2 linked regions of the Astyanax mexicanus genome follow. The protein of the gene in region 1 interacts with the protein of each later gene in a biochemical or structural test. Links are inferred from orthologs where the notes say so. Each region holds a gene or a part of one and is shown on either strand. Other genes may lie near its edges. The genes, in order: klhl20 and dapk1.

Evidence for each region.
Region 2: the proteins of klhl20 (region 1) and dapk1 are reported together in a solved structure, tested with the Homo sapiens proteins (2 studies listed by BioGRID and IntAct, with this or other methods). The link is inferred for Astyanax mexicanus from reciprocal best matches to the Homo sapiens genes KLHL20 and DAPK1.

The regions. Positions count from the first base shown.
Region 1 is NC_064415.1:59,187,991-59,196,060, forward strand, and holds the start of klhl20 (kelch-like protein 20), read right to left. Parts: upstream 3,001-8,070; 5' UTR 2,759-3,000; intron 1,296-2,758; 5' UTR 1,265-1,295; coding exon 929-1,264; intron 416-928; coding exon 209-415; intron 1-208. UniProt on the Homo sapiens protein: Substrate-specific adapter of a BCR (BTB-CUL3-RBX1) E3 ubiquitin-protein ligase complex involved in interferon response and anterograde Golgi to endosome transport.
Region 2 is NC_064429.1:18,860,159-18,867,973, reverse strand, and holds the start of dapk1 (death-associated protein kinase 1), read left to right. Parts: upstream 1-4,737; 5' UTR 4,738-4,940; intron 4,941-5,873; 5' UTR 5,874-5,970; coding exon 5,971-6,032; intron 6,033-7,815. UniProt on the Homo sapiens protein: Calcium/calmodulin-dependent serine/threonine kinase involved in multiple cellular signaling pathways that trigger cell survival, apoptosis, and autophagy.

The sequences.
Region 1 (8,070 bases):
CCAGTCAAAATACAATCAAGTGTCAGGATTGAGAAAGTGTTCGGAGTGATGCTCACTCTAACATTTAAGAATCAGCTTTCTGCCAGATGCTTTATAAACACCCAGAGCAGGCGACCCACACACAACCCAGGTGAAGCTGTTACTGAGGAACGCTCCTGAAACCTCCTCCTCCTCCATCACACCACCGGAGCCGGAGGGAAGAACCTACCTCCTGGAAGTTGTGCTGGGTGAACTTGTCGGCGATGCGCAGCAGCTCTCGGCAGGAGTGGGTATCAGCGAAGGCCCGGATGCCCAGGCAGTTGGAAGGGTCGAGTTGCCGCTTGAGGAACTCGCAGCAGGCCTCCTGGATCTCAGCTAACTGCAGCAGGCAGGCGGCGGGCAGCAGGGTCTGTACATTACCTTCCTCCACAGTTACCTGCAGATCACACCTGTTAGTCCTCACACCGCACCAATGACATACGCCACAGCCGCATATAATATGACGTGGTCTATTAACTTTCAATATAAATTAACTCTGTTTAAAGCATCTCCTTTTGGGGATGCATAAACTGTATAGTAAACTGTATAGTGTAAAGAATGACAGCGCACCGAGCTTCAATTGCCGTCCCAAGGTAGAATACCACGTTATTCCAATGTGGTTAATAAGCACATTTGGCCAAATAAGCGAAAAAATTAAGGGTTACCTCTATTTTTAGGATTTTTTTTTATTAGCCAGCCCACACTCTCTACTTCCTCTCAGGGCTATGATCTGAGATATGAGTTGTACCGGAATTTTATATTAAAAAAAATTTATTAACTTTGCTTTAGCATTTGTTTGTTTATCAAAAGACTGACTGCCCTTCTCTGTGTAATTTTTACTTATATGTAACTTGGGCAGCACTGCTGAGGTACATCCATGACTAGAATAGAACTTGAGATTAGCTCAGACCTGTGATGTGTAGGCGAAGTCGATGAGCAGCTCCATGGCGCGCTCGTCGATGTCGCGGATGACCACCTCCGTCTGGCGACTCTCAGCGAGCTCCCCGGTGAACATGGCCCTGAAGTAGGGGCTGCAGGCCGACAGGATGACGCGGTGAGCATAGATCTTCTTGGCGCCCACCACCAGCACCACGTCGCACAGCTCCCGGTGTTTGCGCAGCAGGTTAATGACCTCCAGCGTCTGGCGCGGGTGCTTGTCCGAGACGTAGGGCATGCGGGCCGGCTGCGGCACGCCCTCCGGCAGCTTGTTGGGGTCACCCAGAGTGCAGCGGCTGGTGATGTCCATGGCGGCGGAGTCCGAGCGCACACAGGTACCCCTGAAAAAAATCCAAATAACATTTCAGGAAATTATAAACTAAGAATGTAGTCAAGAATAGTGTAAGCAGAAATAGCTTTAACCTGGTAGCACCAAAAAGTGACTTTGGAAGACATTTAAAATTATTATTTTAAACCTGTAACCTTAGCTTAATTTTAATGATTGAATCTGTGGTCATTTTATGATATGTTACATTATGTAATAGCCATAGACTTTTGAATTGTTATATTGGTTTGTATATATTTTACATTATTATTGTGAATAATATGGTTTGTCTTAACATAAAATGTACATTTACTGGTACACCATCTACGCTTTGTTTTTGTAGGTTTCAGCTGTCAGAGAGATTAAAGATTCACATTTGTAGTGCTGCACTTTTCAGTCGTGTTTACTCCCTGTGCTCCACAGTAATTTTTGTACAGGAATTCATGATTTCTCTCAGCATTTAACATACAGTTAAAGAAGATCTTAATACTATTATTACTACTCTGCCAAGTTTATACACAGATGTGTCACCTAAACAAATGTTGTTGTTTTTTAGATTGATTAATGTGTTATTTTCCTGTATATTGCAATTACTTTGAAACAAATAAAACATTTAATAACAAAAAATACCCTTAAATTTAACCCTCGCTGATTACGAGATGAGTGGAGTGTGAAGTTTATTATTTAGTTAGCGTTATTAGCTGTGCACTGGAGCTAGGAATCTAAAACCTGTACATTAGATTAGATGTTCTGATGTTATGTTATATTACCCCACTAACTCAAACTAAAGATCCGAACCTCCGGAGACCCACAGGCCGGTGTGGGTTTGTGCTGTAGCGGCAGTGTGAGTTCGGGGGTTCGGCAAAGATTTCAGACCACAACTCACAGCAGCTCCAGCACTAGCTTAGATTAGCTATGTTAGCTAATCTGAGGTAAATAACTGTACACACTTCTGCCTCTAAACACTGACTTTGAGTTGAATAATTCATTTAGCTAACTAATCATCGGGGTAAGCAGTGAACTGGCAGCTGTATGTTGGTCGTTTTGTGAGTTTTAAGACCATTTTATTATTAATCTTATCATTATTATTGAACTAGCTAAATGTTAAATTACAGATAGTTAGCATCTTGGCTAACAACCCTGCCCTGTTTTACTGCTATAGTTAGTTAGATTAGCCAGGCTAAGCTAAGCTAGCAGTTTATATATATTAATAAAAGACGAGACACAGTTGAAGCACAGTTAGTTTAGTAAAATGAGAGGTAAATTAATTCAGTATAACTGTGATTAGGGTGAGATCCTGCTGACCGGGCCGCCAGGGCTCGGTTCAGCCGCTGAGCTGGATGTTGGAGCTAGGCTAAGCTAGGCTAGGCTATGGGGATACGCTTGCTAAGCGCTTAGCGGGGGCAGACAGGTAGCTAATAGGGTCGGTAAGCGGGACAGTACCCGCGGATCGCAGCGTTAAACCCGGCTTTAATTTACCTTATTTGTCCATTCAGGCGCTCCAGAGTGGTGGTGTAAGTCTCCGCGGGGACGAGCCGCTCATTAAACTGCGCTGAAAGACACAGAACCGAGGCTGGGGGCGGATTCAGAGCGGAGCCGCTGCTGCTACTACGGGTTATAGAGAGGGGTCCGGTCCACAGCGCAGCTCCGCCATCTGCTGACCCGCGCAGGGAAGCCCAGTCCCGGCTCAGCTCACCGGCTCTCTACCGTCACACCGCGGGGCTCCGGGGATCAGATTAAAGAGACAGTCTGCAGGTTTTTGGTGAGAATGTTTAATTGCAGGTTTTAAAAGTACTTTAAGCTAACTCTGTGCACTGTACTGGATAAATCTGGTGATTATAGAGAGGACTGTTTAGCTCTTTATTTTAATTCTGTGTTTATTTGGTGTAATGATGTGATGATCAGATAAAGAAAGTGTTTCAGAGTTTGTTGTTCTGATATCTCAGTGTTTGCAGTAGTTCTTGTATCAGCACCTTTAGCATTACCTCACTTATTCAGGTACAAAAAATCATAATCTATTACAGCCAGAAAAAGGCCCCGGGACCTACCAGACCACACTGTTTATAGAATAAGTATATGTGATTTTACAGAAATAGTATACATAAGCACACTGATACCATTTATTATAACATTTTATAGTAATATTATTGTTTTTAAAATCATTTCAAATTAAAAATCTTAAGGACTGCTACTTTAACATTAATCAGGTTGAGCACAAATGGAACATTTTAAAAACAGTGTAAATTTTTATTATTTATTTAAAATTTTCATTAGTTTTCCTTTTTTTTGTTTTTTGAACAAACATATAATATGAAAACATAATAATCAGCTAGCAAGAAATATAATAAAAAAAACAGACAAAAAAATATGCATGAAAATGCAAATAAAAAAATTGAACAAAATCAAGTTAAATAAAAAAGGTAATGTCATATCAGTCTAAAGAGAGTCTAATCATATTCCTCACATCATATGAATATGCAGAAACATGAAAATGAAACATTTTCAAAAGATTTTAAAATAAACTGAATTTCTCTGCAGGGTTCTCTTACAGCTCACCTTAATCTCACACCGGGCTCACCTGTACAACTCAGGTAGACCCGTGTTTAACCATCACCAGATTATCTGGTTATATTACAGCACTGAACGATTCGGCTCTAAGAACCGACTCTTTAAAGTGAAGGGAGTCGGCTCCTGATTGTGAACTGATTCTTTTTTCTGCTAAAGCCGCACGTGATTGGTCGAGATTGGTCTGTGAGTGTTCACTGAGCGAGAGGGGCGGAGTTACACACTCAGCACAGTGAACAGATTCACTAAATACATTTACAACATTATTAACAATAAACATCAGAGACTGGAGCTTTCGGTCTAATCTACACATTCTTTGATTTCTGTATTTTTCTGTATTTCCAGCCAAAAATCCACTTCCACAACTATTTATATATATTTAAATTTTCACTAATACAGTAAATATTAAATAAAACATATAACCAGAAATGAGACTGCTAAAGAGACTAACACTTGTTTTTGAACAGTGTTTGTAACAGTCTAACACTGTAAAATTGTAATTAACAGTGTAATTACAGTGTAATTGCAGTGTAAATAACACTGTAATAACAATGTAAGTAATAGTGTATGTAACAGTGTAATTAACAGTGTAGGTAACACTATAACACTGTAATTAACAGTGTATATAACAGTGTAATTAACATTGTAATTACAGTGTAAGAGCTCCCGCAGTGTGTTCAGTATTCTCACTGTAGGAGAAATGGTGTGATGTTATGCTGATCACATGGTATTAGGACAAATCATTTTTAAATAAATCAATATTCTGAAATAAACACATTATCAGCTGAGAAACAGACATTGTAAAACTCAGTTCAGATAGAAAAAGAAAGATTTGTGTAATTTAAATTTACAGTAAAATGTAAAACATGACATTTTTGGAAATCTCTCACACCTGGATAATCTATAATCCACCTGTTTTTAGACGTTAAGTGTAACATTGAGAAAATGTTGTGAAGCTGGGGCTGTAGTCGCGGTGTGGTGAACTGTATTAGACGGTACAGGATGAGGGACTCTAGTGTTTATGAGGCACAATGTTTCTCTTACATTTAAGTTTTCAGTTTTAGCCACGCCCCCTCTAGTATATACACGCCTCATGACGTGCAGTTGGTACCCAATTAATGTTTCGCCCCTAGCCTTCGAAGAGCGTGACTCCGCCCTTGGGTTGTGGGCGGGTCTCAGAGGGTCTGTGTGTGTTACTCTGAGCTCCTGTGCCCCTCCCTCTCCCCCCTCCTCCTCCTGGGAAAACAGCGACAACAAATTAGCCTCCTTTTATGTGGGAGTCTGAGGACGACACTTGGACAGGCCTGAGATTGTCCTCCCGGGTTCCCATGAACCGCACTAACCTTCCCTTTCAGACGCCGAGGAAGCGGCCTTTGTGCCAGCACCTGTTTCTGTGGAAATTGGTAAAATGATGGCTTTGTTAGGGGGTTACCCCGACAACCAGGAGAAAGGAGCAAGGAGGGGGAGGAGGGAGGAACAAGTGTGTGTGTGCGCAAGAGTGTGTGTGTGTGTGTGTGTGTGTGTGTGTGTGTGTGTGTGTGTGTGTGTGTAGAACAGGGCAGTTCCTCAGGGTTCCTGCAGGGGGTCAGTGGGTGGGCAGCAGTTCGTAGATCAGCTGGTTGAAGGTTAAACCTGTTACTGGACTCAGGTTTGACCTTGGCGGCTCAAACAGGTCATCATTTATATTTATAGGGTATTTAACGTTGCATCCATATATGTTAGACACATATTTTAATTCAACACAACACATCACTATCTTACACCCCACCAACAGTCTATTTTCACTCCTTCCTCCTGCCTGGTTTAAACAGCAGCAGATCTTCTGAATATATCTACACTGATGGGCGTAACAGAAAACACAGGAGTTCCACTGACTGAATACAACCTAGACAGATGCCAACAGTCAGACGTTCATCGCTATCTCGGTAACACAGGCGCCGCGCTGAGCCGAGCGTACACCCCCACTTATTACACACACATGAACACACAGCAGCACAAACCCAACTTTTACATCAACAATAAACAGAATAGTAAATAAAATAACATTGCTGTTCCCGTAAATGAGCTGCTGGAGCTCCTTCACAGCGTCAACCAGCAGCTCAGTTTCCTCTGCTGAGAAGAGTTTGTTGAACACGTCCAGGTAGCTGCACCGTTACAATAGCAATCCACCAAAGACAGAGCTCACCTGATCTACTCTTAAAGAGAATGATGAGCTTATAAAGAGACACTCTGATTTTTTTTGTGTGTGGTGCACAGAGGATGTTAGTGATCTAATTTCATATGTAGATTATTTTTGTTTTAATAAATACATTATTTAAAAAATGTATTATTAATGTAAATTTTATACTAATAATTAACTACTTTACTGGTGTTAAATACTGAAATACTCATGCCAGTTTCACTCAGCTAATGAAATAAAAACTGCATTATTATTGGTATTATTATGGGCTGTGTGTGTGAGGGGCTGTTGTTGGTATTATTATGGGCTGTGTGTGTGAGGGGCTGTTGTTGGTATTATTATGGGCTGTGTGTGTGAGGGGCTGTTGGTGATGCAGATCTCTCCCAGCAGAGGGCAATCATCTCTCAGGAGTGGTGGAAGGAGAGTCTCTCTGGCTCTCAGAAACAGGATCGGCCGTTAGATCCAGACGTTTTACAGCTGAGTCTGATTTATTGCTGCACAATACAGAGTTTCACAATACATCACAGTCTGAGCATGCACTCAGGCTTTCCACAAGGTTTAGGAGTGTGTTTATGGTGTTTATGGAAATGAGAAGGTCTGTCTCTCAGTCTCCAATTTAATTCATCCTAAAGCTGTTCTGTCAGGTTGAGATCAGGACTCTGAGCAGATCAGTACAGTTCTTCCTCTAAACTCACCAGATCATCCACGTCTTTATGGAGCTCTGTTTGTGCGCTGGTGTGCATTTAGTCATGTTGGAACAGGAAGAGGGCTTCCTCAAACTGTTCCTGCAAAGCTGGGCATCATCATCATCATTTATTGCAAGAAGGGGCATCCTGGTGGGCACTCCATCACTTTTTACCCACAGGATGTGCAGCCAATAGGACACTTGATGTTATTGTGCCACTCTAGGGGGCAATTTAGTGCCACTTTTCATCCATGGGAGCACTAGGTGGGGGAGTTGTCCCTCTCTTGAGTCTATCAGGGGATCATATACAGTATATATTCTGTATATATGAGGTTGGTTTAATGAGCTGTAAGTATGCTCAGACTCAGCAGTCCGGTGTGGTCAGATGGAAAGTTCTGCTGGTCCTGCTGTACATTACAGAGAACCTTCCTGACCCAACCACAACCGAGACGTCAGTCGAGTACGTGTTTCCATTAATGACGGCCTTAAATCAGCAGAATTACAACTATTTGGCTCGTTCCCAAACCCAAACACTCCTGATTCACTGGATCTGCAGGAAGCTGTTGGTAGACCACAAAGAGTGAATTAAAATCATACAAAAATATCCATAAAAATCTACCTTGTTAGGAAAATGCCAGTTTTACACAATACCTAGGGTTAAAAAAAGAGTTTAAAAAGATTGTGCGCCCTGTTATTTTCATAAACAAATTAAACAAGCTACAACAGAACATAACTGGAAAACAACCATAAACTGACACTGTAAAGCACAAAATCAGACAATGGCCTGTTCTTACTCTAAAACAGACAAGAAACACCTGGTTAAGATAACGAGAGGGCTGGGCTACAGATGAGACACTGATACAAACACTAATGACTGAGTGGGGCTAAGGGAGGAATTTGAGATTAGTGAAGAGTTCAACAGGCAGGTACAAATCCTTCACCTGTTCCTTTAGATGATTTCCAGAGACTGTGTATATAATAAGTGGTTTGTGTGAGGATGATGGAAGGCTTATGAAAGCTATTAAAAATGTCTTCACCACGGTCACGCATGTGTTACTCTTCCCTACTGTGAGAAAAAGACAGAGAGAGAGAAGGAGCAATAGCATCTGGAGAACTGACTGTAGACCTGAGTTTACAGCTCTCGCTTTAACATTAAACGTTTCTGTTTGTGTTTGAGAGAAACATCACAGTGAAAATTATATTAATATTCTTTATTATTCTTTATCATACGTCCCCTGTTGTGAAAATGGCTTGGTCTCGGAGTGCACGGGTTCTGTAATGGTATCGTATTCATTTTAATTTAGACTTATTATAAAAGAATAAGACTATATGTCATAAAAGAATAAAAAGATAAAGGAAACA
Region 2 (7,815 bases), on another chromosome or scaffold:
AAATTAAATTTCTCATGATTTTCCCATAATGCCAAAACAGTTCCACTACAATTTGAAAGGGTACAACATAGGCTATGACTCCTGCAAGTTTGGGCAAATTTCACTGTATTGTTTATTTTATATTATTTTATTTTTATTTTTTATTCATGTTTAAAATTAAATTACTACTGATTTTCCCATAATGCCAAAACAGTTCCAATACAATTTGAAAGAGTATAACATAGGCTATGACTCCTGCAAGTTTGGGCAAATTTCACTGTATTGTTTATTTTATATACATTTTTTTATTTTTTATTCATGCTTAAAATTAAATTTCTCATGATTTTCTTATAATGCCAAAACAGTTCCACTACAATGTGAAAGAGTAAAACATAGGCTATGACCCCTGCAAGTTTGGGCAAATTTCACTGTATTGTTTATTTTATATTAATTTTATAATTTTTTATTCAGGCTTAAAATTAAATTTCTCATGATTTTCCCATAATGCCAAAACAGGTCCACTACCATTTGAAAGAGTCTGTCCTAGGCTATGACTCCTGCAAATTTGGGTAAATTTTAGTTTAGTTTATTTTATATTAATTTGTTTTATTTTTTTATTCATGTTTAAAATTAAATTTCTCATGATTTTCCCATAATGCCAAAACAGGTCCACTACCATTTGAAAGAGTCTGTCCTAGGCTATGACCACAGTCTAGTCTAGAAATCACCTGTTAAAGACACCTGTGCTAGAAACAGGGGGTGTGAGTTTAAAACCATCACCTTAAATCCAATACCTCAAGTGCAAGGGGCTATCTATAGTGAAACCTGCAGAAATACGCAGTGCTGATAGCCTGAGGAACTGATAGGACTGCCTCACAGTGGCCCTGTGATGGCTTATTGGAGAATGAATTTACATCTGATACTAGCAAGTATTAAAAATAAACAAAACAGTGAAATTTGCCCAAACCTGCAGAGGTGATAGCCTAGGACAGACTCTTTCAAATGGTACTGGACCTGTTTTCAAGGATTCAAGGAGATTTTACTGTCATTCGTATCACATGTGGTTCATGAGGTGGAACGAAATTGTGATCTCACGATTCAGTTTACACCCAAGAGCTGTTGTTAAAATAGATATATAAATAAAGTAAGACAACAAAATAAAATAATACAATAAAAATAGAATATAACAAAATGAAGATAAGATAAAATAAACAAAACAGTACAACTTGTCATAGCCTAGGACAGACTCTTTCAAACGGTCATGGATCTGTTTTGGCATTATGGGAAAATCATGAAAAAAAAAATATTTTAAGCATAAATAAAAAAAAAATTAAATTATTATAAAATAATCAATACAGTAAAATTTGCCCAAACTTGCAGAGGTGATAGCCTATGTTGTACTCTTTCAAATGGTCATCGACCTGTTTTGGCATTATGGGAAAATCATGAGAAATTTAATTTTAAGCATGAGTAAAAAAAAATAAAAGATTAATATAAAATAAACAATACAGTGAAATTTGCCCAAACTTACAGGAGTCATAGTCTAGGACAGACTCTTTCAAATGGTCATGGACCTGTTTTGGCATTATAGGAAAATCATGAGAAATTTAATTTTAAGCATGAAATTTGCCCAAACTTGCAGAGGTGATAGCCTAGGACAGACTCTTTCAAATGGTAGTGGACCTGTTTTGGCATTATGGGAAAATCATGAGAAATTTAATTTTAAACATGAATAAAAAAAACAATTAATCTAAAATAAACAATACAGTGAAATTTGCCCAAACTTGCAGGAGTCATAGACTATGTTCTGTAAGAAAGAACATATCCAAAGATCCTCTCGCTCACACGGACCAGGAAGCTTCCAGCGCTACCTGACTTCAGCAAATCCTCCGCCTCCTCACGAGTAATAATACCTGTGTACAAAGAGAAAGAGCTCAAATCAAAAACGTTTAATCACGTATTTCAATTTATTGACTGTAAGATAATTATTTATTATGTTAGTAATATTGCAAACAAATATAAAGAAATAGCATTAATCCTTTGAAATAATAATAATAACAAACCCAGTAATTATAAGCAGAACACTTAGACAGAGAGAGAGAGTTTTTTCTTGGATTAAAGCTCACAGATGGCCCACACTTTGAACTCACCATGAAACCAAGGGGCAACTCGACTCTCGCCTTGCTGTAAACAAACTCTGAGGGTCTGCTCCTCTTTAAACCAGCGAATAATTTCATCCCTGCTGGACGTCGACAGCGACCGGCACATACCTGGCTTCCTGTTGATCATAACGGAAAAAAAACGAATTCAGAAAAGCTTTAAGAAAGACAAGCTGTCTGACTGCCTCTCTCATACCAGAAAATCCTACATGACATCAGCTCTACAAGCCCAGGAAACAATAGAGGGTTAAACTGATAAGCATATATGACACAGCCTAGAGCAGTGATGGTATAGTTACTTTGAAAAAGTAATCCGATTACTGATTACTCCTTAAAAAAAACTTAGTTACTTTATGGATTACGCGATGTGTGTGTGTGTGTGTGAGGTGGAGAGAGAGAGAGAGAGAGAGAGTAACGCACAGTGACTTGGATAAGTAACTTTAATCTGATTACTGCATTGGAAATAGTAACGCGTTAGATTACTCGTTACTGAAAAAAAGAGTCAGATTAGAGTAACGCGTTACTAAGTAATCATGTAGTTGTAAAGGCAAAATCCAGCAAAAATATATAAACAAATAAATTAATAAATATAGCCAAAAAGAATGGGTGACAGAATTTCATTAATAATAACTGATTTAGGCTTGTAGCTCTGGTGCAAAATCAAAGAAGCAAATTTCAGTAATTTCCTAGATGAAAAACTATGTTCAGGCTTTAAGTGAATTTGTCAAAATTATTATTTTTATGAAATCATCCTTTAAAATATATATTTTTTTATCATGTTGATAAGTTAGGCCTTGTTAATTTGTAAGACAGATTTACTATCAAATCAATGCACAATAAAATATGTAACAAAACATAATTAAAATATGTTAAATAACTCGTCAGAAATTCATATTATATTGTGTTACATCATATTGTGAAAATCACCCAAGGCACTACTAGTAACATAAGGCCACTCAGTGCTGGTGTGGGTTACAGAGGGGCCTACATCGTTCCAATCCACAGCCTCTCGAGGTCAGTCACACAACTGATCATCATTGTTTGTATCTGTTCACTCAAGAGTTAACGCCCAGTCTTTTTTTCATGAAGCACTCACGCCTGACTACATAATGAGCGTGGTGTCGTTCTCACAGGAGCAAAGAGCACTACAGTGTATTGAATACTACACTTCACTATAACACTAAAGCTACAATATTTGACATGGCTTAAAGGGGAAGTCCACCTGTTTTAATATTTTTATATAAATAAATATTTAGTCATTTGTTTTACATTAGTTTTGTGATAACATGATATTCATAGATTGTATTTTTTTTAAATTGCAAAACATTTGGCTATATTTGTGTTTTATATCTGGACCACTGATACCTATCACCACCATTGTAAAGAATTTAGAATCTGTAATTTTCTATATTGTGAATTTAACTACTCTGACAGAAATATGCAAAAAAAAAAAAAAAAAATTAAAATTCCACTGTAAGCAGTCCTAAGTAAATCTACATAAGTAATTCCAAATCCAAATATATTTTTGTGCGTATAAGGGAATCGATGAAACTATAAAAAAAAAATATTTCACTTACTTTGCATCAAAATCTGCACAATTAAATTAATAAATCCCAAATGAAGAGAAGCAGATGTCAGCCTCAATGTGAGATATTACAAAAAGTTTTGAATACACTGGCTGATTAGAAATTCAATCAAAAATAAAAGCAATAATAATAATAAAAATAGTAATGCAATAAAAGAAAATCAAAATAAGATAAAAAGCAATGATACAAAACTATTAAAATAATAATATAATAACTATAATAATAATAATAAATACATAAAATGAAAATAAAATAAGGAAACAAAATAAATAAATAAATAAAAATAAAAAGATAATGAGAAATGAGACGGGGCCTAAACACCCTGATTTTTGCTGACTCCACTCTCAGCTCAAAATTGAAAAAAAAGGCTAAGAAATAGCAGGGGTAGTTTGGGAGGGGTACTGGGTGATGTATGGGTTTAGGGGCGGGGCAGGAGGGACAGCTGATTGGCTGAGCTGCTGCAGCAGCAGCACTGTGCCTCTGATACCTGTGAAACTGTGAATCGTGAGTATCAGAGTACCAAAGTACACGGACACCTAATCCACACCATCATCCATTTCCCCTTGAGAGAGGTGGAAATGACAACAATACAAGTTTTTTTTAAGGCAAGGAAAGGGTTATAAAAATAATTAAGCAGGACTGGTATGTTTCATTACTTTTAAGGAACACATTTCAGCTAATATTGGAAAAAATATGGTTTAGGGTTTAAACAGTGTACACAATAATAAATAGGCTTTTTTACTTCCCTATATAAATATATGAAGGATAATTAAACAATGTGCATAATGATATATATATATATGCTTTTGCATTTACTTCACTATATAATTATATAAAAATTAGTTTTTTTTATCATCAGCTCTCTATAACTGCCATTGAGGGGAGACACTAATGGCTTGAGGACATTGCCCCCCTGAGTACTCGCTCTATACCGCCTCCTCCAGACAGGAACGATTGGACACACGCGCGCGAGCGCACTCTCTCTCTCTCTCTCTCTCTCTCTCTCTCTCTCTCTCTCACACACACACACACACACACACACACCTACTTTCTGTTGCAGTCCTCCCATTTGCCTTCATTTCCTACCACCAGTCCATGTCGGTGTCTCTGCGGAGCGCTAGGTTCAGGCTATGCCGCCGTTAACGTTACCGCCAGCGCCTCACCCACCCGGACTTTACCTGCTTCCCTCAGACCTAACGACCGCTCGAGCTTAGAGGTAACTTTAACGCTGGTTAACGACAATTTCGGTATAATTTAGCCGCTTTTTATTGCGCCAGTGTTTAAGCTCTTGTTCCGGGTGAGGGTATCGGTGCATCCTAACGTTGAAGACACGTTTCTCGGTTAATTAAACGATATTGGGGCTTTGTTTTGCGGCTGTCGCTTGATTTAGAAGGTGAAGAGCCTCGTTTTAGAAACGAGCGTTACTGTTTTTTTTAAACGTTAGTTAACCTAGGTTAGCTAACTAGCTAACATTTAAATGTAGTTTAAGCTAAATTTTGTGAAGCTGTATCGTTAGTACAGCAGCAGCAGCACACATAGGCTATATATATGTAACTTAACGTTACTACGTTTAAGTAAGCGTAAAACGTTACGACGTTTAATACAGCGTAACGTTCAAATGTAACTTAGTTAACCTAACTAGCTAGTTTACATTTTGTGTGAAGCTGTATCGTCAGTACAGCAGCTGCTGCTTTTAATACACACACACTAATACACACACTATGTGAAAGCTTGGTGATTGAATAGGCTGACTAGCTATGTTCAAGTAAGCGTAAAAAAACTGCGTAACGTTCAAAGAAATTGTTCGTTAACACATTTTTTCGTATGATTATTAATTAGCACTTGTCTTAATATTTTACGTTGAATGTCCTTTGCTTTGTTGAGCTACACTGGTGATGTTTTATCGTGAAGGGAAGGGGAGACCCAAGCCCAGCTGATATAGTAGCTAGCTAGGTTAGCTAACGTTAACTAGCTAGTTAATAGATAACCTAAGTTAGCTTAGACACGTTCACCTACAGATACTGCCTAGCTTTAAGCTAACTACTTAGCTAGCTACGTGCGACGGTGTGTTTTTAAAGACGTTGTGAAAACGTGTGTAACATCTCCCTCCTTGTCTACTACATCCTTCCTTCCTTCCTTCTTCTTCCAGCGCGAATATGAGAAGGGTTCGCCGAAAGCTGTCATGAGGCTGGGCGGCTGATTTGGGAATCCCGCTGTGCAGGAGCAGCAGCAGCACCACCAGCACTATGACTGTCTTCAACCAAGAGAATGTGGAGGATTACTACGAGATAGGAGACGAGCTTGGAAGGTAATTAATGCTTTTTAGCTTAATTTCAGCTTTTTTAGGGGGCTTTCCCCAGTTTTTTCTCAGCTGGCACAGTCGGGACTGGGCGTGGACTGACATGTAGCTCTAGCTATTTCTCTTATTTTTGTGGTGAGAGAGATGGGTTGGGTTTGTCTCGTTTTCTGTCAGTTCATTTCCCCATCCATGCACACATTCAAGTCAGTTAAGCTAAGCTGAACTGATCTGATCTGAAGACGCTCTTCAAATCAGACACACAGTGATGTATCAGGCAGAATGTAATGGTCACTCATCACAGATGTGGCTCTGGTGTCTTCTGCTAAATGGACTTGGACAGGGCAGATGTGCCCTCGAACCCCATTCACGCCTGTCAGTCAGAAAAGCTTTGATATTTTAACAGCCAGACTTGGTGCTGTGCCTCTTATTGATTGATGTTCAGTACGTCCAGTGGATGGATGTGACAGCCTGCTGTGCAGATTGGTCATCTGAGATCTGCACCTGCCAAGATGACGGTCCAACCAAGATGTCCCTCAATTTGCACACTGACGGTCATGCCGACCTTACACCAAAAGATTTTCCAGCGATTTCACTGTCGCAGACAAATTTACAGTTGTGGTCACGTTATCTCGATCATTCATTGTAAGGATTTGGTTAGGATTTAAGGTTTAAGTCAGTCTTTTTCTTAACCTGGTGTTCAGATACATTCAGATACAGATACATAAACCGTGTTTAATATTATCAAAAGTTTAGACACTTGGCTCACACAATGTCAATAACCAATAGGAGAGCTTTAAGAATCTGCAAGGCAAGCGTGGGGACATTTTCGTTCACTCAAACAGGGTCGTGTCCACATTCTGCAGTTTCTTGTCTTTTCCTCTGTTGGCTGTTTTTTCTAAACAAATCACTGCACACACACTTTCTGCTCATTGTTAAACTGCTTCTTTTCCTGTTAAACGCCACCAGAAATATGATGGGGAAATAATCTCTACTAATAATAGTGACCCAATAGATCCCCAATCTTTCAAAATCTTAGTCTGTGACTTGTCTTTAGATGTGAGAAAGTGTCAGACTTTAGTCTATTAAAGTCTTTTCAGAGTCTTTTCAATATAATCTAGTGTATGGGTAGCATTAGATGATGGAAAGCTCATTCTTTGGTTGGATTTTCAGAGAAATCCCTAATCAGAAATCACATTTTTTTCCCAGCTGCATATCATGAGGATGCAGATTCTCATTGACTTCCAGGCGTGTGGGTGGTGTTGTTCAACACGGATGAGTGTGCTCGTTGTGTGGGCTGCAGCGAATTTGACTCTTTTTGTGTTTAAGAGAACTGATTTATGTGTCAGTTCTCGTGAAGCCGCCCCTAAAAGCAGGGAAGTCGTATCTATGCCCCATACATAGATTGATATGGTTGTGTAGGAGAGATGGTACCCTGCCAGAAAATCAAAAATATTTAAAGGCCTTGAGGATGATTTTGTTGTCTATGTCTTTCTGTAAATTAGGCTTGTTGCAGTTAAGCTATTCGTATAAGAAGTGTGACAGTGTTGTGCTGTAGTTAGGCTAATTCATTCAACTGGTTCTGTAATAGAGAAGTGAGTGAAGTGTATTTGATTACACCAAGATGGGAACTAGAAACTCGTTCTTGTGCTCTCTCTGTGTGTGTAAGAACTGGATTAGTCAGGTGTTAAAATGTGTCATTTGGGATATGCAGTATGCATTATTCAAATAAACATCGATTGCATGCCGAATGAGTGTGTTTCCGTCAATTTCAGTTTGCATATACAATAATATT